3 linked regions of the Drosophila melanogaster genome follow. The protein of the gene in region 3 interacts with the protein of the main gene of each other region in a pairwise test. Each region holds a gene or a part of one and is shown on either strand. Other genes may lie near its edges. The genes, in order: CG8854, CG3124 and Vtld.

Evidence for each region.
Region 1: the proteins of Vtld (region 3) and CG8854 interact in a two-hybrid assay, tested with the Drosophila melanogaster proteins (one large-scale study listed by BioGRID).
Region 2: the proteins of Vtld (region 3) and CG3124 interact in a two-hybrid assay, tested with the Drosophila melanogaster proteins (one large-scale study listed by BioGRID).

The regions. Positions count from the first base shown.
Region 1 is NT_033778.4:12,227,384-12,231,141, forward strand, and holds the start of CG8854 (uncharacterized protein), read right to left. Parts: upstream 1,928-3,758; 5' UTR 1,725-1,927; intron 1-1,724.
Region 2 is NT_033778.4:23,282,432-23,286,189, forward strand, and holds CG3124 (uncharacterized protein), read right to left. Parts: upstream 1,683-3,758; 5' UTR 1,538-1,682; coding exon 1,481-1,537; intron 1,423-1,480; coding exon 722-1,422; intron 673-721; coding exon of another isoform or gene 660-672; exon of another isoform or gene 646-659; coding exon 587-645; intron 529-586; coding exon 494-528; 3' UTR 312-493; downstream 1-311. Other genes in the region: atlas, read left to right, coding at 1,873-2,391.
Region 3 is NT_037436.4:19,758,800-19,762,410, reverse strand, and holds Vtld (viral tegument-like deubiquitinase), read right to left. Parts: upstream 2,003-3,611; 5' UTR 1,581-2,002; coding exon 774-1,580; 3' UTR 594-773; downstream 1-593.

The sequences.
Region 1 (3,758 bases), on a different chromosome or scaffold from region 3:
GCATTTGTGATTTGTGCATTTGCATAAAAATGTTGAGTTGGTTTTGTTTTTGCCTGGTTTGTTTTAATCTCTTCGGTTATCGATTAACATTTGTATGGCCTGATCAAGAAAAAAGGTTTCCGATGGGAATATATTTTTTATAAAATACACAAACTGTACCGCGAAAAAAAAATAAAACAACGTGACTTGGCTGTGACACGCAAATGAAATCGTTTATCTGTGTATCTTTCAGGGTCTATAAACTTTTTATGGCATATATCCAAACAAAACAAAATATGCACACAGAAGCCCATCTGAATGCACTTTCAGTGATTTGCACGCGAGTGAAAATGGTTTAGGGCTTGTTTTTTAAGCTATTTATTATTTAAAGGAACTCCAAAATGTAGTCAATCCAAAACAAACAATGTAGGCATACAAATTCTGCACTCTATACTTGATATTCCAGTTATTATTCTAGATAACTGATGAATAAATTGATAAGAATAATAAATGTTCTTGGTGGGTGAAAATCGCATTACGTATGCGCCACGTGGCCCTTTACCGTGAAAAGTTAATTGCATGCGCAGTGTTTAGACGCAATTAGAGTTGAATATGCAAACACATTCGTGGATATGGAACCACTTAAAACCCCTAAGACCCTGTTAATTAATTGGCATCTTCGGACGGCACTTCCACTCCTTCACTGCGGTTGGCTGATTGCCCCGGTCAACCTCAGATACAGATTCAATTTCGGATTCAGATTCATTTCAGCGTAAAGTGCCGCTTTGACTTTGGCTTCTGGCCATTTGCATATCAAATGTGACAAGTTCGCGTCGAGTTACTTTGTGTAATCAGTCGGGCTTGTTAGCGTGTTTGGTGATTGATAGTGGTTTTGGCCACCTGAGTTAGGCTTAAAATAAAAGACAACTATCAATATTTGTGCAAATCCGGGCTATTAAATGCTATTAAGACGGATGACCGTAATGGGATATTTAAATAAAGATTAAATTTAAGTATACTAAAAATAAACTTATTTAAGATAAATGTAGGTTTGTAGGTAGCAACCACAAACACTCTTTATAAATATTAACTGGTAAGATATTCCACTATTTATATTTTACTACTCAAAATTTTGCCCACCTCCATAATATTATTCGATTGACTTTGGTTTTCTCCGAATATTTCAATTAAGGTAATAATTAACAACCTGTCCATGTCTCATTCAGCACAAATTATGCAAAGGTAAGGTAAATATTTCGACATCGGATTATAATGCAAAATAACTGGAAACACGTTTGCCAAATGCCAATCGACCTTGCTAAGTATTCAAATATATAAATATTTATTCGAGTGATATCATGCCCAATTGTGGATTTACATCAAACCAATCGAGAGCAGGGTAAAATGAATTTAAAAAGTCACATCTTCTGCCGCACCTTTGAAAAAAGTATGCGAGACGAGCAGAAGTTTTTATCATGAATCACCTGAGAAGAACAGTTCTCTCGCATACCTGGGCGTAGTGCCCTAAAATGGTGATCATTACATTACACCTGAGATGCATTCGAATTTATGTGGCACAGACCCACGCAGATGATCACTCAATCTCGACAAGCCCGCAAAAGATTGAAAACGAACATCAGACGGAGCTGAAGATACACCTAAAAAGATACTTGGCAGCCTGCCCACACTAAAAAAATAGCAACTTTCTTTGCTTTTGACACAGTTTTCTGGGCAGTTTCATTCACCTTGTTATTTATTTGGTTTTGGTGTTGGTTATAAATTTGAATTTGTTTTATGCCGTCGGTCACTTGTCACAGAGCACTTTTATGGTTATAGAACGCTCTTTTAGCCAATTTGTGAATTGTAAATTTCAAACACGTCCGATCGGCACATGATCTACGCGCATGCGCAACCGCGTTGTGTTCGCTTCTTCGACCGGCGCTCAACTGTTTTGGCCAACGGTTTGAGCCAAGTTACAAGTCTTTGGCGCTTCTCTGCCAGCATGTTCGAACGGGTTTGATCCTCGGTCTGAGCTCACCTCACATGTTCGCTTGCCAATTTCCATCAAAATTAATCAGAGATCCCATTCAGTCTTTATGTCTTTGGCTAGATGTAATTTCGGCCGGCCTGTAAATTAATTAGCAGTAAATTAAAATGACAGCAGGTGGTTATGTCACAGTCGCAGAGCTACTCAAAGTCACATTGATATGCAAATTTGAGAGTCGTTGAAATGCGGCTGCGCCAGGGAAATGCCATAGATATGTAAGCAAAACTGGGCTTCATTACACAACGAATTGAAGTTGCTCTAAAGAAATGTATCTAAAAACTCAGTTAAAAAGTAGAAATTGTAATTTGAACTGTCATCATTTAGGAAAAGAAGCTGATTCATACCCAACATATATTACACCCATTTTCGAAACTCATTCAACTTAACCGCATAGTGACCATAGCCGTTGCTAGAGTAAGTGGTTTAAAAAAAAAAGCAGCTGCCAAGTTCAAGTCTTTTTCACTTGCGGAAAGAAATTGAAATCGCTGCTGAGAGAAATTGCATCACTTCAACTTCAACTTCAACTTGAACCGACATTCGGGTGGGGCAATGTGCGCCGCCTTTGAATTCATCAAAAGAAAACAGGTGATGAGCATCATTTCTCATTCGAGACTTTTCCCATCTCCAGCAGCTAAAGCCCAAATAATTTATGCAGTTTTTTTTGTTAGCTACCAAAAGGTATTTATAAAATTAATTGTTTGAAAAAACCTTAAAAAAAGCTTTCACTTTCAGTGCGGTGGCGGTTGGTTTTTTGTGTGGTATCCCCAAAGTCGTGCCGATATTTATGGTGTTTATTCAGTCAGGTCAGTTATTATTTCCTATTGCGGTGAGTGTCGAGTGCAAACAATCAATTGATGGCCCATAGACCAAACCAAAAGCAATTCAATTAAGCCAGCTCAAGTGGGCCACACTTTGTGGTCAGATGTGTCACCAGATAAAAAAGCAGGCAATTAACAAATAATTGTTTGGGGAATTTTAAAGGATTTGCGAAATCTCAGCGACCGCAGATGTTATGCTTCTTAAATTATTTAAAAATATAAATTCCTATCATATGTTAGTATTTATATACATATATATCTTTAGAAATATATCTATAAATGTCTTGCAAGCTCATGCCATTCAGCTTTCGAATGTTATTTGGATTTCTGGTCACGAGAGCTTCGAAAATTGTTGCCTTCACCGGGCATCCATCCATCCATTGAGTTCATTTAGCCAGCCTGCAGTTCATCAGGCCTACATTCCTTGCCGTAGAATCCCAACCCCAATATAGGTACATATGCACTATTTGGACCCATTCAGAGGCTCTGGAGCCAGAGCAATTTGCCGCTTTTAATGGCGAACGTCGTTTTGGGACTTGGGCAGCACACGTTGCCAACGCACAGGAAACCGGCTGCACCTGGCCACCCAGCGGGGGGCGGTGGTGATGCATTTTCCGGTAATGGTAAGGGGGTGGTAAGGGAGCGGTGCCGCAACCAGATGTTTGCCTTTGACTGGCGGCAGACTCGTTGATCTCTGCTCCAATTCCAATACGTATGTGTGTGTGTTTGCTCGGCTCTTTCGGTCGGTATCTATCTATCAGATACTTCGCACCGGCGACATTGCAACATGCTCTTAGTGATGGCAAGGAAAAACTGCAAAGCTATTTCATATTGGCAACAATATTGCACAAGTAGTAACATCAATGATTGAGGAGTACATATATCTGATTTCAATCGATATTGTAGGCCTCATA
Region 2 (3,758 bases), on a different chromosome or scaffold from region 3:
CATCCAACCAACCAACCAACCAACCAACTGATGCCTTTTGCCGATAAAGCCATTGTTTATACTCCGCACAGCGACTGGGTTGTGGATTGCATTTTGGCCATAAGTTGGCAACATTTTTTATGCGTTCATCATGCGGTCAGCATAAATTTTTCATCGCCATTTCAGCTTTTCCCTCGTCCAATTTTCCTTGGCCGAGCCCCCCACCCTCCACCACACTCCGCTTGCCGCGAACATGTTGCCAATTTTGATGTCTGATGGCCATAAATCAGGGCGTTTAAAGTCGCCAGATGAAAAACAACGAATGAATAATTCCATTTCGGCCATAAACATATAAACTATTTATTCCACACCAATATGTTTGTGGCCAAGTCTGTGTTTCTTGTGGGTTTGAGTATCTGTTTGCTTGCGTAGGGGAAGTCTTGGAACAAATAAATAAAGAGACACCAATCATGCAAAAGTACAAAAACAACTAATGATGGGCTCAAGGGTTTCGTCAACGCCAATGGGGGACCTTGCTAACCGCTTTTCCTGAAAGCAGAACATTGTATATCATTCTTTTATGCAAAAAAAAAAAGTGAGTACTCACCACAATTGAATGATTGATTGCCTTTGCTGTACTTCGATGAATCGTGTATCGATGGTGCGCTAAGGGTTAGAGATTAAAAAGGATTGCTATGGATCGGATTAGGATGCCGAACGCCCCTGGGCGAGATCTACTTACTTTAGACCGTTCCGCATATCCCGGTACATGGGAGCGTCGTAGGAGGTCTTCATCCGGTTGACCTGTTGGTGTCCCTGGCTCGGCTGCTGATAGTGCTGCTGCTGCTGTTGCTGCTGCTGCTGGTGCTGCTGGTGGTACTGCGGCTGGTGACTCTGCATAGGCTGACTGTATTGCCACATATTGGAGCTGTTCATCATTTGGTTGGGGCTGGGACCGGAGCTCCAGCCGCCAGCTTGCGAGGGCGACGAGGGACAGGGCGCAGACATCACAGCATTGCAGCCGCCCGTCAGACGTCCTTGATGCATTTGGGTGGTAGATCCACTGGGATTGTACTGTTGCAGCGGCTGCATCTGACCCATCGAGGTCATCGGCTGCAGGTCAGGCAGCACTGCATTGATCCCGGGGGCATCGATGGCGCCCATGGGATTGCCCATCATGGGCATCATGGTCATGCTGCTCAGGGGAGTCACCGCTCCAATCGGCAGCTGGGTGGACATCGTGGACATGGGGGTCATCTGATTGCCCCCTTGCATCATGCCCAGCGGCATACCCTGCATTGGGTACGACGAAGCGCCCGACTGGCACACGGGCATCTGCATCTGCAGATTCATCTGCGGTGGATTCAGGGGCTGCATGGCCATGGACTGTCCTTGACCCTGACCTACTCCCATGCTTAGGGGGTACTGAGGAACGCTCTTCATCTGAAATATAGACTTAGACTTATTACCAAGTCTACAGAACCAATGCAACTATGTGTACCTTGGAATCGGCGTACATGCCGTAGTCAGCTTCGTAAGGCACTGAACAAAAATTCATTTTCGATGTGTGGAAAGCTCGAGATACTCCGAAAGTGTTTATAAAATATTTCACTCCAAATTTGTATATAACTTAAATTTTGAGAATTTTTTTTTTCTTACTTTCTACCAATAGATCTGAATCCTACGATGAAATAAATACGAATGAAGTGTGTAGAGGAAAACTTCCCAGACATCTGACAGAGATGGGAAAAGCCTACTATGATTGAATAGAATACAATTTTAGCGTGTTTTTTTCATGATCATCTCAAAGGCTTTGGATAATAATATTATCAAAAACGTCAGAGTATTTATCGTATTGTATATTTCCAAATTACTTGTTATCACATCGAGTAAATGGGACGCAAAGGCCACAAGACTAGAAGGAAAGTTAAAGTCCACTCGAAGGTCCATCCTCCTCAGAAAATTAAAGCGAAGCTGCCGAAAAGAGATAAACGTAGCACACTTCGTCCCAAGATTAATAATTCGAAGGTTTTTCACGTGAACTGCTGCAAGTACAAGATCCGTTCGAGACCCATGAGGCGCAATCAGTGCAACCTGGCCACCCAGTGCCCCTCCCACACGGTCGCCATCGCCCCGTCTGTGCCGCTCCTGCATCATCCTGTCCGGCGGAAGGTGGTCCATATGCCGGAAACCGTGGTCATGCACATGCGGAATATGGAGGACGCCCGCCGAGTGGCGGTTAAGCACAGAAGAACCCTTATTCAAACCCATGTTCCTTCGCCGGATGTGGATGATGACGAAGATACACACCAAATCGATCGGAGGTCAAGGCAAGCCTATAGGATGGGTCAAATGAGACCCTTATCCAGCGACGTGGATGTGGATGACATGGATGTGGACCCGTTTCAGTAGGGATGTGTGTTGGAAATATATTGTAGGTACTGTGGTAATTGTTTAACTTCTCGTTTACAAAATGCCCATGAGTCCTACTTTATTTCTAGTTGCCAATCCACATATCCCGTGAGACGAGGGATTCCATTGCCACTTCTAACTAGTTGCTTCGCCCCATGGGCATATCGTGATCATCCATAAAACCACGCCCCTCCGCCAGTCTCCCCAAGCCCAACCAAGCTGTCCAGGACAATTAATTTTACACCGGCTTGTCAGCTTATTGTTTATCTACATAACTACGGAACACGGAGAACAGAGAACAGAGGACGACTGCCCTGAGCTGTCGTGTCATTTATTCAGCTGCTCCGACCGGGCTCGACTTTCGATATCCTTTGGGCCGCGGTGCAGTTGCCACACCATTTATGCCATTAAGTCATTAGCTTTGTTTAACAAATAACAAACTGTCAATGAGTGATTAACGATGTTTTTCGCATGAACTGCAATTAGCCGCCGCCGCCGCCGCCGCCGCCGCCGACGCCATGGACGTGGACTTCGTCGTTTGCCGCCCGACTTCTTTTTCCTGACAAATGGGTGTGATTTCGCTCCCGGCGGTGCTCCAGTGGATCCGAGGTGCACTGGCTGGATGTGGATTGATGGTGGTGGTGGCGGGCGGATGGTAGATGGTGGGCTCACCGGGTGACAAGCACTCGTTATTGATGCGCCCCCAAGCTGCCGTCACTTGGCAATTATTGTGTATTGTGCTCCGAGTCAACGGCATTTGCCATAGTCATAGACATGGTCGTGGAACAGTCACACTCATCGCAGTTTGCATTTATCATTGAAGGGTAGTGCTGGCATTTTAAGATGCCATTTTAGAATAGTAAAGTGTTGAATAGCATTCAATTAAATTAAAAGTCTTACTTTGCAGCTAATTGATTCATTGGGCATTTGGATATTTGAATAGAAATGATTTGTATGAACCATAGCCTTTTTATCATAACTTGGCCAAAATGAGTCCCACGCCAAAAAAATTAACATTCTTGTACATCTATTGATCTGTACTTTCATTTTGTATCAAATTTTGGTCAAATAAAGAAAATTTTTTTTTTTACAATTTTCGCATTTTTTGTAAGGGGTTACATCGTCAAAATTGGCAAAAAATCTAAAAAAATTAAAATGTTCAAATTGAAATGTCAATCGATTGGGAATATGAATACGAGTTGAACGAGGTACTACAATCAAGATTTTGATCATTTTATCGGTTGCGTTAGCTAAAATACGTGTTTTTGGTCGGAAAAAAGAAGGTTTTTCGCCATATATCAGCCAAGAAGTGTTAGAAACCTCTAGGAATGACTTTTTTGCACAGCTATTGATCCATACTAATGACC
Region 3 (3,611 bases):
TAATGCATAAAATCCCCCACACAGATGTTCGGCTCTCCCGAACTAATTGTTTACTCAAGTGTAATTAGGTAAGAGGAATAGAAAATAGGCAAATATCAACAGAAAGGTAAATACATACGTGCTCACAATTAAATAATTTCTATATCATTATTTAGTTCAGCATTAATTAGGAGTTAAATTTTTCATACGTTCACATGTATGTACATAACAACATGGAAAGTTGTTTAGGTGACTTGCAAAAGTATATTGTCTTCATTCTTTGAATCCGACGATTAACTGCGTGCCTTAAAGAACTTTTAACTAAACGATAGAGAACATTATTGTCCTCTTGTCCGACTCTTTGATACCAGTTACTTAGCTCAACGACCAAGAAGTTTCTACTTCTTAGCAGTTCCAGCTAACTGTTTATAGCTCCTAAGATTTCGATGATTATACGGACAACAAACAGACGGACATTGAGAGACTGCACTTATACTTTATAGGGTCGGAAATCAATCTTGTATCAACCTTGAACAGACTAGACTTACCATATAGCTAAATCTTGCAAAATCTGTCTTTAAGGATACAATGCAAATTGGAGTTCGTTATTTATTAGTTGATGGTCAACAGAGAATTTTGAATTAAATTTCTAAACGCTTAACACACAAATTTTGCTATATGAAACTTGAGATTTTGTCCTAAAATAGCCCCAAAAATGGGTTCCGAAAGGTTGGCCCGCGCCTAGATCGACGTCCTTGGATGTTGGCGACTTTGTAGTAAACCTGGCAACATGATTAGTGCTTAGGCATGTTCATCTTAAACGGCTTCTTCAGGTCTGCGGCAATCTTTTTTTGGATGGCCGGCGGAATGTTCTTGGCCACCCCCGGCTGAGAGCTGAGGAAGGAGATTTCGAAGAGCGAGGGCCGGCTGGAGTAGACATTGTGTAACATGCTGATGAACCAGAAGAGCAGGTCGTCCATGTTCTCGAGCGTGCACTGGGCGAAGACGGCTCCCGCATCCCGGCCGTGTTGGTGGGAGTCGAAGAGGGCGACGATCGAGGCTCGGAAATCGAAGGTTACCATCACCGTTCGACTGTCCGCTATGATGGCGGCGAAGAGGTTAGTGGGTACATTGTTTCGCACGCTGGCGTGCTGGAACATCTGGAGTGTTATCTGGAAAACCCGCGACAACTGCACAGCAACGTTCCGGTTGTACATGGGATTGCTGGGATCGGCCTCCATGTGCGTGTAAAACCACTCCTCCAGCCGGAAGTTCATCTTGTGCTGCGACCGAATGGCGGCGATAGCATCCGGAATGTTGAGGTTGAGATTCCTGGCGTGCGGCGTATTAGTTGTAATCACATTGTGGTACACGCTGTTTCCGTCGTTAATGGCGTTGCCGAAGAGCTCCCATCCCCGCAGCGGCAGATCGGAGACCCTGTGATAGAATCTGTCCGCCTTGGCCACCTTGTCGGCCAGTATTAGGGAAATGATGGTGCAGGAGTTGGTGCCGCTCCGCTGGAACTCCCCGAATCGCGACTGACAGAAGTCGCGCGGAAACCACCAGATGTTCAGGTTGTCGATCTGCTCGTGAATGGCCATGGCGCCGGGTTTTTGATCGCCCGGGGATCGGTTGTTGGTCCTCGGATCCTGTGTTCAGCGACGTCTTAATCTTAGGTTGCGTTTCCGGATCCTGGTGCTCCGGAGACGCAGTGGTAAACCCGGCCCTGGCGCTGTTTCCGTAGTGCCACTGTCACATAGTTCGCAAGTGCAATGACCCCTAGGCTTCAAGGCGCACGTGTGGGTATAGAGTTGGTGGTTTATGTGGGGATCTAGTGATCGAACCCGTCAACAGCACTATGTCCTCGGATTCGGGATCGAGCTCAGGATTGCCGCAACTCCTCTCCACTCCACTACGCTCTAAGCACGGGCTTTGGATTTCAAGTAAACATCGAATTTTGAGTGTCTTTTGCCGGAGGAGCGTTCGACGGGTAAAGGTGAAAACTTTCGAGTCGGAAAGACAAAAATTTCTAGACCAACAACTGACAAATAACGAACATGATGTGAGATTTCAGACCTACGGGGATCTGATTATGAAAATGAGAGCCCATTTGACGCAATTTGAAAAGGTATTGCTACGTTCTTATAGGTCCTTGAATATAGTATTTCCATTTTACATTTAAAGTAATTGTAATAGTTGAAACTATATGATTATTCCAACAAATTTTAAGGTGTTCTAGCTCTATGTGAGCATTACACCTTACTATGCTAAAGGAGTACATTCAGAGTTTTTCAATTAGCTTAGTTAAAAACTCATCAATGAAATTGAAATGGTTTTTAGATTTTGTCTACTTCAGCGCAACAGCTATTTACATCCATGATACCGACTTAAGTATTTTTTAACTTAAATAGGTTGTTTATAGACCAATCTATATACGTATTAAACAAGAAGATCTGCTAATCTAGATTCTAGGAAAGACGATTTCCGCCTTAGCCACACATAAATGTATTCAAATGCCATTCTTGGAAACGCGTTTCGCATTGTGTCAAAATGGTGCGCAAATATTTATCAGTGGCGCCCAAATTTAGCTAGCCCAGCCAAGTAGTTCTAATTTTAAATTGCAACATTGAAGAATATACAGCTTAAAAAACAAAAACAAATATGGTTTGCGAAGTGTGTCGAAAATGCAAATTTATGGCTGGCTGCTTGAGCATTTTGTTGATTGAGATTGGGGTGCTCTAAAGATTACCCGCGTCTAAGTGGCTACACTTTGAATTCCTCGTGAATATTTGTTTGAAATTATCAGGAAAATTTGTGAATTCCTAAGGTTTTCCTAAGTCTCTTATCATGTCTTAAGGATTGGTTTTGCTTTTAATTAAACTCAGCTTATGGCTTTTCAAAGCAATTCGATATTAATCAATTTTATGTTCTATTGCTGGAAATTTAATGTGCTCCACAGTTAACCGATGTCCCAGTCGTTTGTGGCAACTTTTTTTTAAATTAACTATAATCAAATAGTTGCCCTACATTCCGTTATATACTGGCTTTCGCATTTCTTTTATTCTTTTAATTAAACTTACACGTGAGCCTGTTAAAAAAAAAAAAAAAGACAAACAGGGATGAACGCCATCATCCGACCGAACAGTTGAGTAATCCAATCCCATGGAATAAGCTTTCGCTTTAGCGCAAACAATCAGGACAATGCTGTGGGGAGGGATTGTGTTGGCGTGGACAGGGATAATAACAAACATATGTCTGAAACGAAATCGCCGGCGATATATATATTTAATGCCTCAAACGAAATTGCATAATGGCAAAATCAACGCATGCATAATTAATAATAACAAGCTGTGCGCTCCGCATTATGGGCCTCCATTCCGGAGGATACATATGTACGAATGTATATGGCATTCCTTGGTGGAAAAAGGCCTCTGCAGTAGCTGATAAGCTACTTATCAGTGATTCGCTCCCAATTCCCATGGCAAAGAACTGAACAGCCTAATTAAAAAATTCCTAAGCTCGTTTCGGCTGCCGACGGACGAGTGGTCAACGATATTGAAGTTGGACATTCCAACATTTGACATTTCCCTGCGTGGGCACTTGCCTGGCATCCGGTTGCCTGTTGGAGTACA